Linked DNA regions of Canis lupus familiaris. The protein of the gene in region 3 interacts with the protein of the main gene of each other region in a biochemical or structural test. Links are inferred from orthologs where the notes say so. Each region holds a gene or a part of one and is shown on either strand. Other genes may lie near its edges. The genes, in order: RAB5A, RAB5C and RBSN.

The links.
Region 1: the proteins of RBSN (region 3) and RAB5A form a complex in vitro, tested with the Homo sapiens proteins (3 studies listed by BioGRID, with this or other methods). The link is inferred for Canis lupus familiaris from reciprocal best matches to the Homo sapiens genes RBSN and RAB5A.
Region 2: the proteins of RBSN (region 3) and RAB5C form a complex in vitro, tested with the Homo sapiens proteins (2 studies listed by BioGRID and IntAct, with this or other methods). The link is inferred for Canis lupus familiaris from reciprocal best matches to the Homo sapiens genes RBSN and RAB5C.

What each region holds. Positions count from the first base shown.
Region 1 is NC_049244.1:23,836,213-23,839,860, reverse strand, and holds part of RAB5A (ras-related protein Rab-5A), read left to right. Parts: intron 1-25; 5' UTR 26-118; coding exon 119-281; intron 282-3,648. UniProt on the Homo sapiens protein: The small GTPases Rab are key regulators of intracellular membrane trafficking, from the formation of transport vesicles to their fusion with membranes.
Region 2 is NC_049230.1:20,627,296-20,631,594, forward strand, and holds the start of RAB5C (ras-related protein Rab-5C), read left to right. Parts: upstream 1-1,458; 5' UTR 1,459-1,471; intron 1,472-4,299. UniProt on the Homo sapiens protein: The small GTPases Rab are key regulators of intracellular membrane trafficking, from the formation of transport vesicles to their fusion with membranes.
Region 3 is NC_049241.1:5,251,038-5,254,685, reverse strand, and holds part of RBSN (rabenosyn-5), read left to right. Parts: intron 1-2,397; coding exon 2,398-2,538; intron 2,539-3,648. UniProt on the Homo sapiens protein: Rab4/Rab5 effector protein acting in early endocytic membrane fusion and membrane trafficking of recycling endosomes. Required for endosome fusion either homotypically or with clathrin coated vesicles.

The DNA.
Region 1 (3,648 bases), on a different chromosome or scaffold from region 3:
TTACTTAATATTTGTTTTTGTGCAGGTTTCTGTATATCCAGAAAGAAAAAATTTGACACCTTGCATCCTGGAAGTTCATTTAAGAGACTGAAATTAGGGACTTCTTTCAAATTTGGACATGGCTAATCGAGGAGCAACAAGACCCAACGGGCCAAATACTGGAAATAAAATATGCCAGTTCAAACTAGTACTTCTGGGAGAGTCTGCTGTTGGCAAATCAAGCCTAGTGCTTCGTTTTGTGAAGGGCCAATTTCATGAATTTCAAGAGAGTACCATAGGGGGTGAGATTTTCTTTTTCCCTTCATTTAATTGAATTATACATTGGCAAAAATTTTGCATTTCCAGTTGCATGATGATGAATACCTAAAATAGGTCACACAGTGAAGAAAACTGTTCAGCAGACTTCAAGATTTAAAAATTATCTGGATTTTTGTGTAGGTAGCATCTTCCTACATTTTGATTTCCTGGTTACCCCCAAGATGGTTGTGTAAAAGCTGGAATACATATACAAGCATGAACAGAGTCAATGTCCCAAGTAATTGAATTTGATCTGATACCTGTTCCTTGATAATGATTAGAGACTTCTTCAAATTAATATGCATTTGTGCTAAATTATATTGGCTTTAGAATGAGTAATGAAAATAGTAAAAGTTAACCTTAAAATTCTAATTCTATATAGTTGGACTATTTATGAATTATACTGATTAGTAAAATTAATTAACTTGTATTAAACTTGCATAAGAATGCTCCTAGATTGAAGGAAGAGAAAAAGTCAATGATCAATGAAGAGGGACATGAAAGGGAAATGGGACCTGTCGGGAAAGATGAAGGAGGGGATAAGAGTGTAGAGTAAGCACTGAATACAATAATTGTGTTAGAGCTGAGATGAGGGGAAGGTAAGAGGCAGGACAGAGACAACTCATAGTGCAGTGTTGTGGGTAGAAGACAGGAAATTTGATAATTGAATTTAATCAAATTCACAACTATATAGCAGTGGGGCAGAAGAGCCTTTTCAGGGCCTTGGTTTCATCTATCATATGAAGCTTTTGAATTGGGTAGTATCAGGAAGCACAGCTTTAAGATCAGTATTTTGCAAGGGGCGTGTAATTAAACAGTACTATATTTTTAAAGGAATGCATAAGTGTATTTTAATCTCATACATATAAAAAACTCAAACTTTTGACATGCATGAGACTAATGACATGTAACAACTTCAGATCTTTTAGAAGTATAACTCTATGTTGTGCATTTGGTGTTTGTCCTCAAGTACACTTGGGAATTTTATACATAGTTCAAATCCTTCCAGTAAAATAGTTTGTAAAACTATACTATCTCTTGGCTTTGCCTGCATACGAGAAATATACTACTTACGTGGTATTTCCACGTAAATAGACTAATTTCCACTTTAATAGACTTAGAATGAGTGAGGATTATCAACCTCTTTTGTTTTTGTGTCTATCAAGTTACACAGTGTTGTGTTTTAGTGTTTTATAAGATTTATTTATTGAGAAAGAAAGCACCGGGTGGTAGGTGTGGGTAGGGGCAGTGGGAAGAGAGAATCCTCAAGCAGACTCCCCACTGTGTGTGGAGCCCCTCAGGGGGGCATGATCCCAGGATCCTGAGATCAAGACCTGAGCTGAAATCAAGGGTCAGCTCTAGCTGACTGAGCCACCCAGGCACCTGTAGTGTTTTATGTTTTTATAATGGGTGAGCATCAAAAATGTGGTCCATGATAAGGGGCTTTTGAGTTAGAAATCTAATGAACAATATATTATACATTCTTTGTGGTATCTTTGTTAATATATATGTATGTATACATACCCACAAACATATATATTTGGTTTAGTAATGAAATATTACCTCTCACGGTAATAACACTTCTCAAGTGGTTTTCAGGGGCAGCAATTCCCAAAGTACATATGCATTTGAGGCTATAATACCTGGGCCAGACAGGATTGGGCCTTGATATATGCCACCCTCCCTCTTTTCACAGTACATACTAAAATAACAAAAACACTGAAGTACTATGGTAAAGAATTGAATTTCTGGGAAACTACAGGAGCCTCAGCAGCCTAAGACTAGAATCTTCGTTTTTGTTTTGGATATTATGGTCATCCAAATTTATTTTTTCCTACTGACATTTCAAGGGAGGACATTTACAAGAAAAATTTAATCCCTGTATCAATGAGTCATACATATCTTCTGATAAGTGTATATATGCATATATAAAAATCTCCATTTCCATTTAATACAAATTAGCTTGTTTACATTTCATCAGTTTTTCAAGTTTTTTGTTCCTACGTGTAAAGCTTCCTTAATATTCTACTTGTACAGATCAAATCTAGCTTTTAAAATCAACTTTAAAAGGAATTTATATACAAATTTCTGTGTCAGTGGATGTTGACCACATATTAATATCTTTAGGAGGTATGGTGCCATTATGATTACATCCATTATGATTACAGCTGTGATTACTAGTTTTTGGTTTTGTTTGGAGACATAATTGACATAAAACATTGTGTAAAGTTAAGATGTGAGGCATTGATTTGATGTTTTTACAGTGAGTGCTGTTCTTTTATGTTCTTTGCTTACAGCTCTTCCCTCTTAGGAACTTTGATAGTATTCTGTTTAAGCATTCAAGGATTTCAAGGTTTAAGCAATTTAATGATGACCACAACGGGTCCGTAACTTGTAATATGTATTTTTGTTTTGGCTGATGTGTGGTAAGATTTATCTAAATGAACTTGACCAAATGTTTTGCATTTTATCTGTGCTTGATTTTTTTTGATTGTTTGTATCTAGTAATATTCGTTATGGTGTGAAGACTCACCTAAAATTTTCATCTGTGTTTTAATGTGGGAATCATATGCTATACTCTCGAATTTGTGTATTCTAGAACCTTACATTCATCAAGAATATCAGGGTAGTTTATGTGTTTCTTCTTAGACATGATAGCTTAATTTCAGAATCCATGTTGTCTCGCAGTGTCCTATACAATTTGCCCCTTGACCCTGTAGCACTCACAATGAGGTTAGGTAGTTAGGTTGTGGGTTAAGCATTTTGAGGAGTTCTAGCTTATCTGTAGGGCTTTAAAGTCTGCTTTGAAGTCTTAGTGTTTAAGACAAGCCCAGAAGGTTAGCAAGGAATATTAATGCTCAGGTGGTTGTCTCCTTCCTACTATCTCATCTGGAGGCTTAGTATTGCTTCAATAAATATCGAATAAATATTGGTGGGCCATCTTTCACTTAACATCTTAAGTAGCTAAAGACTTTAAAGATTTCAAGTGAGGTACTTTTGTCAAAAAAACTACTTGTTTTTAAACATAGTTAAATGCTATTTTTAAACAAGTTTGTTTAAAACAAATTTGTTTAAAAACAAATTTTTAAACAAAATGCTCTTCAGTGTAAGAGCAGGATTAGAATATGCAATGAAATAAGATGCAGGCATTCAATTTTTTTCTTTTGAAAGATAAATGTCTTATACTACAGTTTAATTTTGTATGCACTGATCGTCAAAGAAAGGTCAGACGTATGGTTTAGGTTATAGAATTATATGTAAGAGCAGTGTTACAGTGTTCCTCTTGCAGGTACTGTATTTTTTGAGCTTTGTTTTAGAGCAGTGGTTCTCAGAATTTTACCAGGAGCATCT
Region 2 (4,299 bases), on a different chromosome or scaffold from region 3:
TGCCCTGTCTCCTTTGCTCTCCCAAGCCTCTCTTCCCTCTTAGCTTTCATTTCTCAGATGATCACTGAAGGGGTGCAGGGGTAGGGAGATGGGAGTTATGAATATTGTTAGAAAGAAGCACCCTGGTGACCAGATGGAACTAGGTGTGGGCAGTTTTATGGCAGGCTGTCCCAAACAGGTTGATTCTCCAGCTCAGGCTCCAAAATATGATTGGTGTTCACCCATGTCACAGGAGCAACGCCTACAGCTCTCTCTGGCCTGAGCTTTGATTGCATACAGGTTTTGAGTACTGTTCCAGGGAGTGGGACACAAAGGCAGAGGAGATACCGGTCTGTGTTGGGGGATGGGGGTGGGCGGAGACAAGAAGTGGTCCTAATCCACATTGAGGAAAGAAAAAAAAAAAGAAAGAAAGAAAAAAAGAAAGAAAGAAAAGAAAGAAAGAAAGAAAGAAGAAAGAAGAAAGAAAGAAAGAAAGAAAGAAAGAAAGAAAGAAGAAAGAAAGAAAGAAAGAAAGAAAGAAAGAAAGAAAGAAAGAAAGAAAGAAAGAAAGAAAGAAAGAAAGAAAGAAAGAAAGAAAGAAAGAAAGAAAGTCCTGATCCATACGGAGGTCACGGTGGGGGAGGCAAACAGAAGTCGTTCTAATCTGTGTTTATGGATGGAGAGAGAGTCAAAGCAGAAGTGGTCCGGCTCTGTTTCTGGCAACAGAGACATGAGCTGATTCTGGCTGGAGGTGTGGGAGGCAGAGGTAGAGGTGATCCTGGAGTCTTGGTGTCCGGCCAAAGGAGGAGGGTCCTGGTTTATGACTGACAAGTGGCAGGAGCTCTCCACACCTCGAGAACCCTTCCTATTAGCACTTCCATCACCTTCCCCATCGCAGAATGTCCCCAATAGTCGAGCTCCCGGAGCTGACTTGGCCTGAGAAAGTGCAGACAGGGGCTTCTCGGGTTTAGCCAGTGTTCAGGACTGCGGCCTCCTGTGCATTCATTCACACCATGTTTTTCCTTAACCAATTCTGCACACACAGCCTTCTGCCCTCTTCCAGCGCCCCACCACCCGCCTCCCCTCGGGGCTCCTGGAACCCAGGGTGACGCTGTTGGCAGCCCTGGCTTTAAGAAGTTCCCGGCCGAGCTCCGCCTCGCCGGCAGCCGGCTCCACCCTAAGCCTAAGTCCCAGGCGGCCACCGGCTCCTCCCAGCGCTGAGAACTACAAGTCCCGCCGTCCCTCGCGCGCGCTCTCCCGCCTCTCCCTTGCCCCCCAAAGGCGTCGCCGGTGAGTCGGCCAAGAGTGCCTCCCATTGGTCTCTCCACCTTGTCAGTCATCTGGTATTGAGGGGCGGGTCTGAGGTGGAGATCCGGATCCGGAGCGGCTGAAAGGCGGAAGTGGAGGCCGGAGCCTGGGACACCGCCGGGGGGAGAGGAGCGGAGCCTGTCCGAGCCCCGGCCCCAAGTAACGCCGCCGCCCCGGAGACGCCGTGAGTGTGCCTGTCCCGGGGCCTAGTGTCTCGCTCGCGTTGAGGCCGTTCGGGGCAACACTTCCTCCCGCCCAACCCCGGCTTAGGGGGATACTGACCCCTCCCCCGACCCGTAGCCCCCTCTTCAGGGGCTCCCCAGGCGTCGGGCCAAAGGGGGGGCCCTCCTTTCCTTCCCTTACCTGCCCTTTATGAGCCTTGGGAAGCCGCCAGGGTTCTCCTCTGGCCTGTCCAGTCCAGTTGTGGGAGGCAGAGACCACAGATTCTGCTCTCTCTGCTCCCAGAACTGGAGGAATCTTTGCTAGGTGTGAAGGAGTCGGTCTTCCTTCTCTATAGAGGCGGCGAGGAGTGCTGTCTGTCGCCGTTTTCCTCGCACCCCCCCCCCCCAACCGTCCCACAAAAACAGTTGTCTCCTCCAGCCCTAGAGAAATTTTATCTCGATTTCCTGGGGCGGGGTGGGGGCGGAGGGGTCCTGGGTGAGAGCCTTCCACACACACAGACTCCCACAACTCCTCACTTCCTCTCTTTCCTCAAGCCCAGGGAGCCAGCCAGGATCCCAGCAGGATTTAAAGTCTAGGCCACTTTTTAGGAATGAGCTGTTGCCTCCTTATCTTGCCCCCTCCACCCCAACTCTGTCCTCTGGTTATGTTGTTCTCTAGTTGTGCTCTCTGAGTGTATCTATCTCTCTTCCTGCCTCTGAAAAATTTAGCTGAGGTTTGCTTAATCCTAGCTACAGATCACAGATCATGGTGGATCTGCCCATTCATTATCTTCTCTCTCCCCTCCTCTCCCCCTCCCCCTTGCTCCAGGCTCAGCCCTGTCCTCCCAGAGCACGTGAGTGGTTTCCAAGCTGCTTCAGAGGGACTGCTCCTCCTGGGACTGCTGTCTGCTGGTCTTTAGGGAATAGGGGAAAGACCAGAAATAAGGACTGTGGAAGTGAAGGGTCCTGGCCTATCTCATTCCCACTCTCAGACACACATACCCCTCTCCTTGATCAACAGGTCTCTGCCACTTCTAGTCCCAGGGCCTCTCTCCAGTCCCTTCCGGGAGGCTTGAACAGATTATAGATTACAGAGAAGTGAATTGAGACCACAGTGGCACCTCTGGGTTCTTAATGTGTTAATTTTTGTAGCCCAAGGAATTCTCATGTATGCTGGAAAGTGCTGACATCCGCCCCGCCCGCGCCCCCTGCCCCCCCTCCAGCCTTTCCAAGAGGCAGCCTGTGCTGACATCTGATCCTTGTCTGTTGCTTGGGACTTAGGTGTGTGAAATGGCTGTTGTCTCAGACCAGGTTCGCAGGTTTTGTTATGTGGCCAAAGTACAGGCCAGAGACTATACCTTAATGAGAGTAGCCTGACTCTTTGAGGCCATGACTGACCCTTGCTATCTACAGCCAAGGGAGGGAGGAGAGGCCATGCAGCCTTTGGGAATTTCAGTAGCTCTTCAGTGTTTCGGGCCATCTTTACTGTCCTTACAGGTGCTAAACATTTTTTGTCTTGGGATCTTTTTGACTTCTTGTGGACAGTCACCAGGGTCCAACTCCTACAAACTTTTGAGCTAGACCTGGGTTGTACTCATTTCATTTTTTATTGGACAACAAGAAAGCCTACCTTATTAGGATCAGTGGTTGGATCACAAGCTCTCTATCTGTGTGGTCTTCTTTGGAAAGTCGTTGGAGACTTCTGCGGCCAGCTTAGTTTCTCTAATCTGGTCAGCCTGTGCCTCTGAGGGACAGACCAGAGAAGCCTCTCTGCTCACTGGCCACTGGTCTCTGACCAGACTTACCTCCTCGGTAGTGGGCTGTGGTTTCTGGAACTCTTTGGGAGTCCCAGGATGAGGCTGCCAGCCTTCTGAGGGGACCGTCTTTGTCTGGACATGCTCTCCCAGCTAGGATTCTAAAACAGGTTTTTTGAAGGAGAAGCTCTTGTTTTCAGAGAGACATGGAAGGCATCATTGCCCCGGTAGTTAGGTAGTTAGGCTGCCACTTCTGGCATCCAGAGATTGTAGAGTCCAAGCAGAGCTCTGATGTTACTTGGCAGAAAGAGGGAGGGCTCTGTGTGAGACAGAAGCCTCTCCTCTCTTGCCTCTTCCAACTAGTTGGCCTTTTCCTGCCTTCATACAACAGAGAGGTGGTAACAACTGATTTTTAGAAATCACTTTAAAGTTGCAGTTTTTTTCTTTTAAAGATTGTATTTATTCATGAGAGGCGGGGCAGGGTGGGGGAGGCAGAGACAGGGAGAAGCAGGCTCCCCTCAGAGCAGAGAGCCTGGTGTGGGACTCTATGCCAGGACCCCGGGATCACGACCTGAGCCAAGGCAGAGGCTGAACCTGACTGACCCACCTGGGCAGCCAAAGTTGCAGTTTTTTCACACATGTTTCTCACAGGAAACAATATTATATTTTCACACCTGTTCCTCACAAGAGTCCTGGGAGATAGTGGGATTTGTATCTCCGTTTTAGAGATGAGGCTGAAGGAATTTAAGTAGCTAGCCTTAGATCATCCAGTTAGAAAGTGGTGGAGTTGAGGTTTGGGATTTGGGATTTGATGTGCCTCATCTTCCCTAAGAGTGGTCCCTTCTTGGGTCTGTTTAAGGAATGAGCATGCAAAGTGAGCAAGCAGAGGCCCCAGTGCAGAGACCCTTAAGCATCCCTCATCCTTGATGCCCCTCTGCTTCCATTTACTTCCCCACCCCCACTCTGTCCTGCCATCATCCTGGATCCCCATCTCCTCTGCCTCTGGGGACCATGGCAGTTAGGAGTCCCAGCTCAGTACTCTTCAGGGCCTGACAATTGGCTGACATCTGTACCATTAATTTCTGGGAACCTGAAAG
Region 3 (3,648 bases):
CTTATCCTGCAGCTAGAATGCAAACAAACTGATCATCTAGGTTTCTTGGACAGCTGAAAGGCCTCCGTGATCTTTAATGAGTGTCCATTCTGAGTGTCCGCTGAACTGAGTCACATACTGTGACGTCACTAAGACTTTGATGCTAGTGGGTACAGAGGTTAGACAATATCTTCAGCTTCTTGTGGTGATTTATTTCTTAGAGGAAAAATGTTTAAGGTTACTTAGGGAATAATCGTATGGGAATCCACTTAGAATAAAAGAGTAGGAATTTTATGAGTTGTGAAAGAAATTTGTAAGAATTCTCTTGTGTTTTTCCCCTCTCTTTTCCCTGTACCTCAAAAGAACTAAGAAATTGAGTTAAGGATTCCTTTAGTCTAATGATCATTTGTTTAGTCAGGAAGGAAGTCTTGTTTGTGTGGGAGTTTTCTGTGTTTCTGAATCAGGAAAGTAAAGTTTTAAAGACTGACAGCAAAGATTTTTGAAAAGTCCTTTAAAAAGCAGGTCATCTCTTCATTTGGTCTTTCGGTTCTTAAAAATTTCATGACATTGCTGGTTTTGTCAAGTGAAATGTTAAAGCCAAAAGAGCAAACCTTGGGATCAGGTTTTGGTGGCAGTTTACGAAAGAAAATATAAACTTGTCATTAGTAGGTGGTGAGCGAATTTGGGCCTCAGCCCTGGTTCATCTTTAGTTTAGCGCCTGTACGGTAAGTATAAGAAAGGATGGTTGGAAATTAACTGTGGCTTCTACTCTGTGTTTTGTTGTTGTTATGGGATTGTTCTTCATTGGCCGCCTCTTGAAGTGCTACACCTGAGAAGGTTGCCAGAGTATTCTTCTGTCCTCATACAGTGGTTAAATGCATGTACTGCCTGTTTAACTTGACACAGTTTAGTCTTGTTTGCAGAAATGAATTAGTGATTGCTAACTCCAATTTCCTGTCTGCTAACCCTTTGTTTACCTCAGGCAGTTTTCTCTCCCATGTTGAGAGATTACTTGAACGTATTTTAGATGGTGTCCATTAGTCCTGGTGGACCTTATTTTTCCAGTGGAAGAAAGCCATCTCAAAGTGGCTATTAGCTTGACTGTCTAACACAGCCATATCTATAAGCTTTACAGTCTCCCTCCTCTGCCTGCCAGTCCTTCCATATCGACATTTCCCTAGGTTTTTGGAAAGCTGTGGTAGTGTTTTTAATGTTATTCAGATGATAGAGCACTTCAGAATTGTGGGAACTCCGTAAAGTATTGATCTATTAAATCTAAAAGAATTGTATTTTGTATTAAGTCTGATATTTACTACTAGATTCTAGAGGGAGAAGGAGATATCACCTAAGATTTAAGAGCCTTAATGAAAGCAACTTAGAATCAAGAATTTCCCCCCATAAGTTGACTGTTGTTCCTTTTTAACAGCAGGTCCTCTTACCTCAGCACAGATAGCAGAAAAACCCTGTTCTGTAGAGGCATAGTTTTTGAATCATGCTGGCTGGGGAGAACTGGGGTTCTTATTTTAAACAGATAAGGTTTCCACTTGCATCCCTGCTGCCTTATAAGCTCTTGTGATCTGGGGTGCAGCAAGGTTTTCCTCTCTTTTTGTCATGTCCTCATTTATAAGTAGGGATACTACCTGCTTCATAATGTGAGCAGGCGTTGGCCTGATTTTTTGAAAGCACTTTCTTTTGTGCCTGGTACATGCAAAGAATCAATCCAGGAAGCATTCATTTTCTCTTCTTACCAAGTCTGGTTCCTTTTGTGTTATGTTGTAGCTGTTATACCTGTTTCTTGAAGCTTTTTATCAGTGTCCTCATACATGCATTCATTCAGTAAGTGAGTGGGGGAAGAACTCTATGTACAGCTAAGCATTATGGGAAACACTAGTCCAGGGATGCACATTTGGTTGAATTCTCTCCTGGAAGTAAACAAGTATTTACTCATGAGAGCATAAAATAAATAAATTAATTAATACTGTAGAATTTAATTTAAAAAAAAACGTTATTTTAATTGAAATATAGTTTACACTTAAGTTTTTACATCTACAGTTAAGTGGGTTTTAAAAACTGTATATACCCATGTGATTCTCTCCCCAGTTAAGATCTAGAAAAAAACATTTCCGTTACCTCGGTCCCCTCATTGAAATAGATTTTAATTCTTTAATTGGGCTCTTAAATTTGGCAACGAGCAGTAATTTAGCTCTATAATCGCTACATAAACCAACTTAGTAACCAGTGAATGGGTTGCTCTGTGGTATTTGTAATACAGCGGTTGTGGACTTACTATTGGAATTTACTTGATATATAAAATTTTTTATATAAAGTGTAGTCATTTCATCAACTCTTGCGTTTTGAGATTTCTCTTGACTTTTTAGTAGATTTTATGGATTCATTGTGTTTGCTTCATTTTTCAAGGTCTTGTGCAGAAGGCTAAGAAAGCCAAGAACAGGCTGTTGAAACGAGAAGGAGATGACCGAGTAGAATCAGGGACACAAGGATACGAGTCTTTCAGTTATGGAGGGGTTGACCCATACATGTGGGAACCCCAGGAACTAGGTAAGAAATTCTGTTCATTCATTTAGCAAATGTTTGAACATCATTGTGTTCATTGTTTTAAGAGTTAGCTGAGAGAAAAAAAAAAGTGGAGTGGGGAGAGGTGCCTGGATGGCTCAGTCAGTTAAGTGTTATCCCCCCGCTCCGCCCCGCTATGTGGTTGCTGCTCAGGTAATGATCTCACTTGGGTTGTGAGGTGAAGCCCCTTGTTGGGCTCCACACTCAGTGGGAGTTTGCTTGAAGATTCTCTCCTTCTGCCCCTCCCCCTACTCACATGCTTATTCTATCTTTCTAAAATAAATAAATCTGAGGCCTGGATGGCTCAGTCAATTAAGCATCTGCCTTTGGCTTAGGTCATGATCCACGACCCTGGGCTGGAGCCCCAAATCGGGCTCCCTGCTCAGTGGGGAGCATGCTTCTCCCTCTGCCTACAGCTTACTCTGCTTGTGCTCTCTCTCTGTCAAATAAACAAAATCTTTTATAAAAACAAAAATATTTTAAAAAGATTTTATTCAGAGTTAAATAGCTAAGAAACTATGGAACTGAGGTAGGAATCCAGGTGTTTGACATCAGCCCACGTAGAGGCTCCATTGACTGGGTTATTTCCTCTCATGTAGGATGTTACCTGCCCAGCAAGAGATACTGATTTATGCAACTTAATTTTCTGAAACACATAATCATGGTACCATCTACTGACTTTCAAAATAATTATCTTTTTGGGGTAATGAAAATGTTCTAAAATTTATTTTGGTGATGGTTGTACAACTCAATATGCTAAAAACCATGGAATTTGTATGCTTCAAATAGTGAATTGTATGTGTGAATAATATCTCAACAGATCTGTTACCAAAAATGCCACATGAAGTTGAACTAACTCATTTTACATGTCCTTTAACTGTTTAATGGTAACAAAATTTAATATATTTTCTGTCTGTGCAATGGATAAACAATGATTTCCTTATAAGATTTTTTATTATTATTATTATTATTACTATTCATGAGAGACACAGAGACATAGGCAGAAGGAGAAGCAAGCTCCCTGTGGGGAGCCTGATGCAGGACTCTATCCCAGGACTATTATTAAAAAATAATAATAATAGTAATAATAAAATT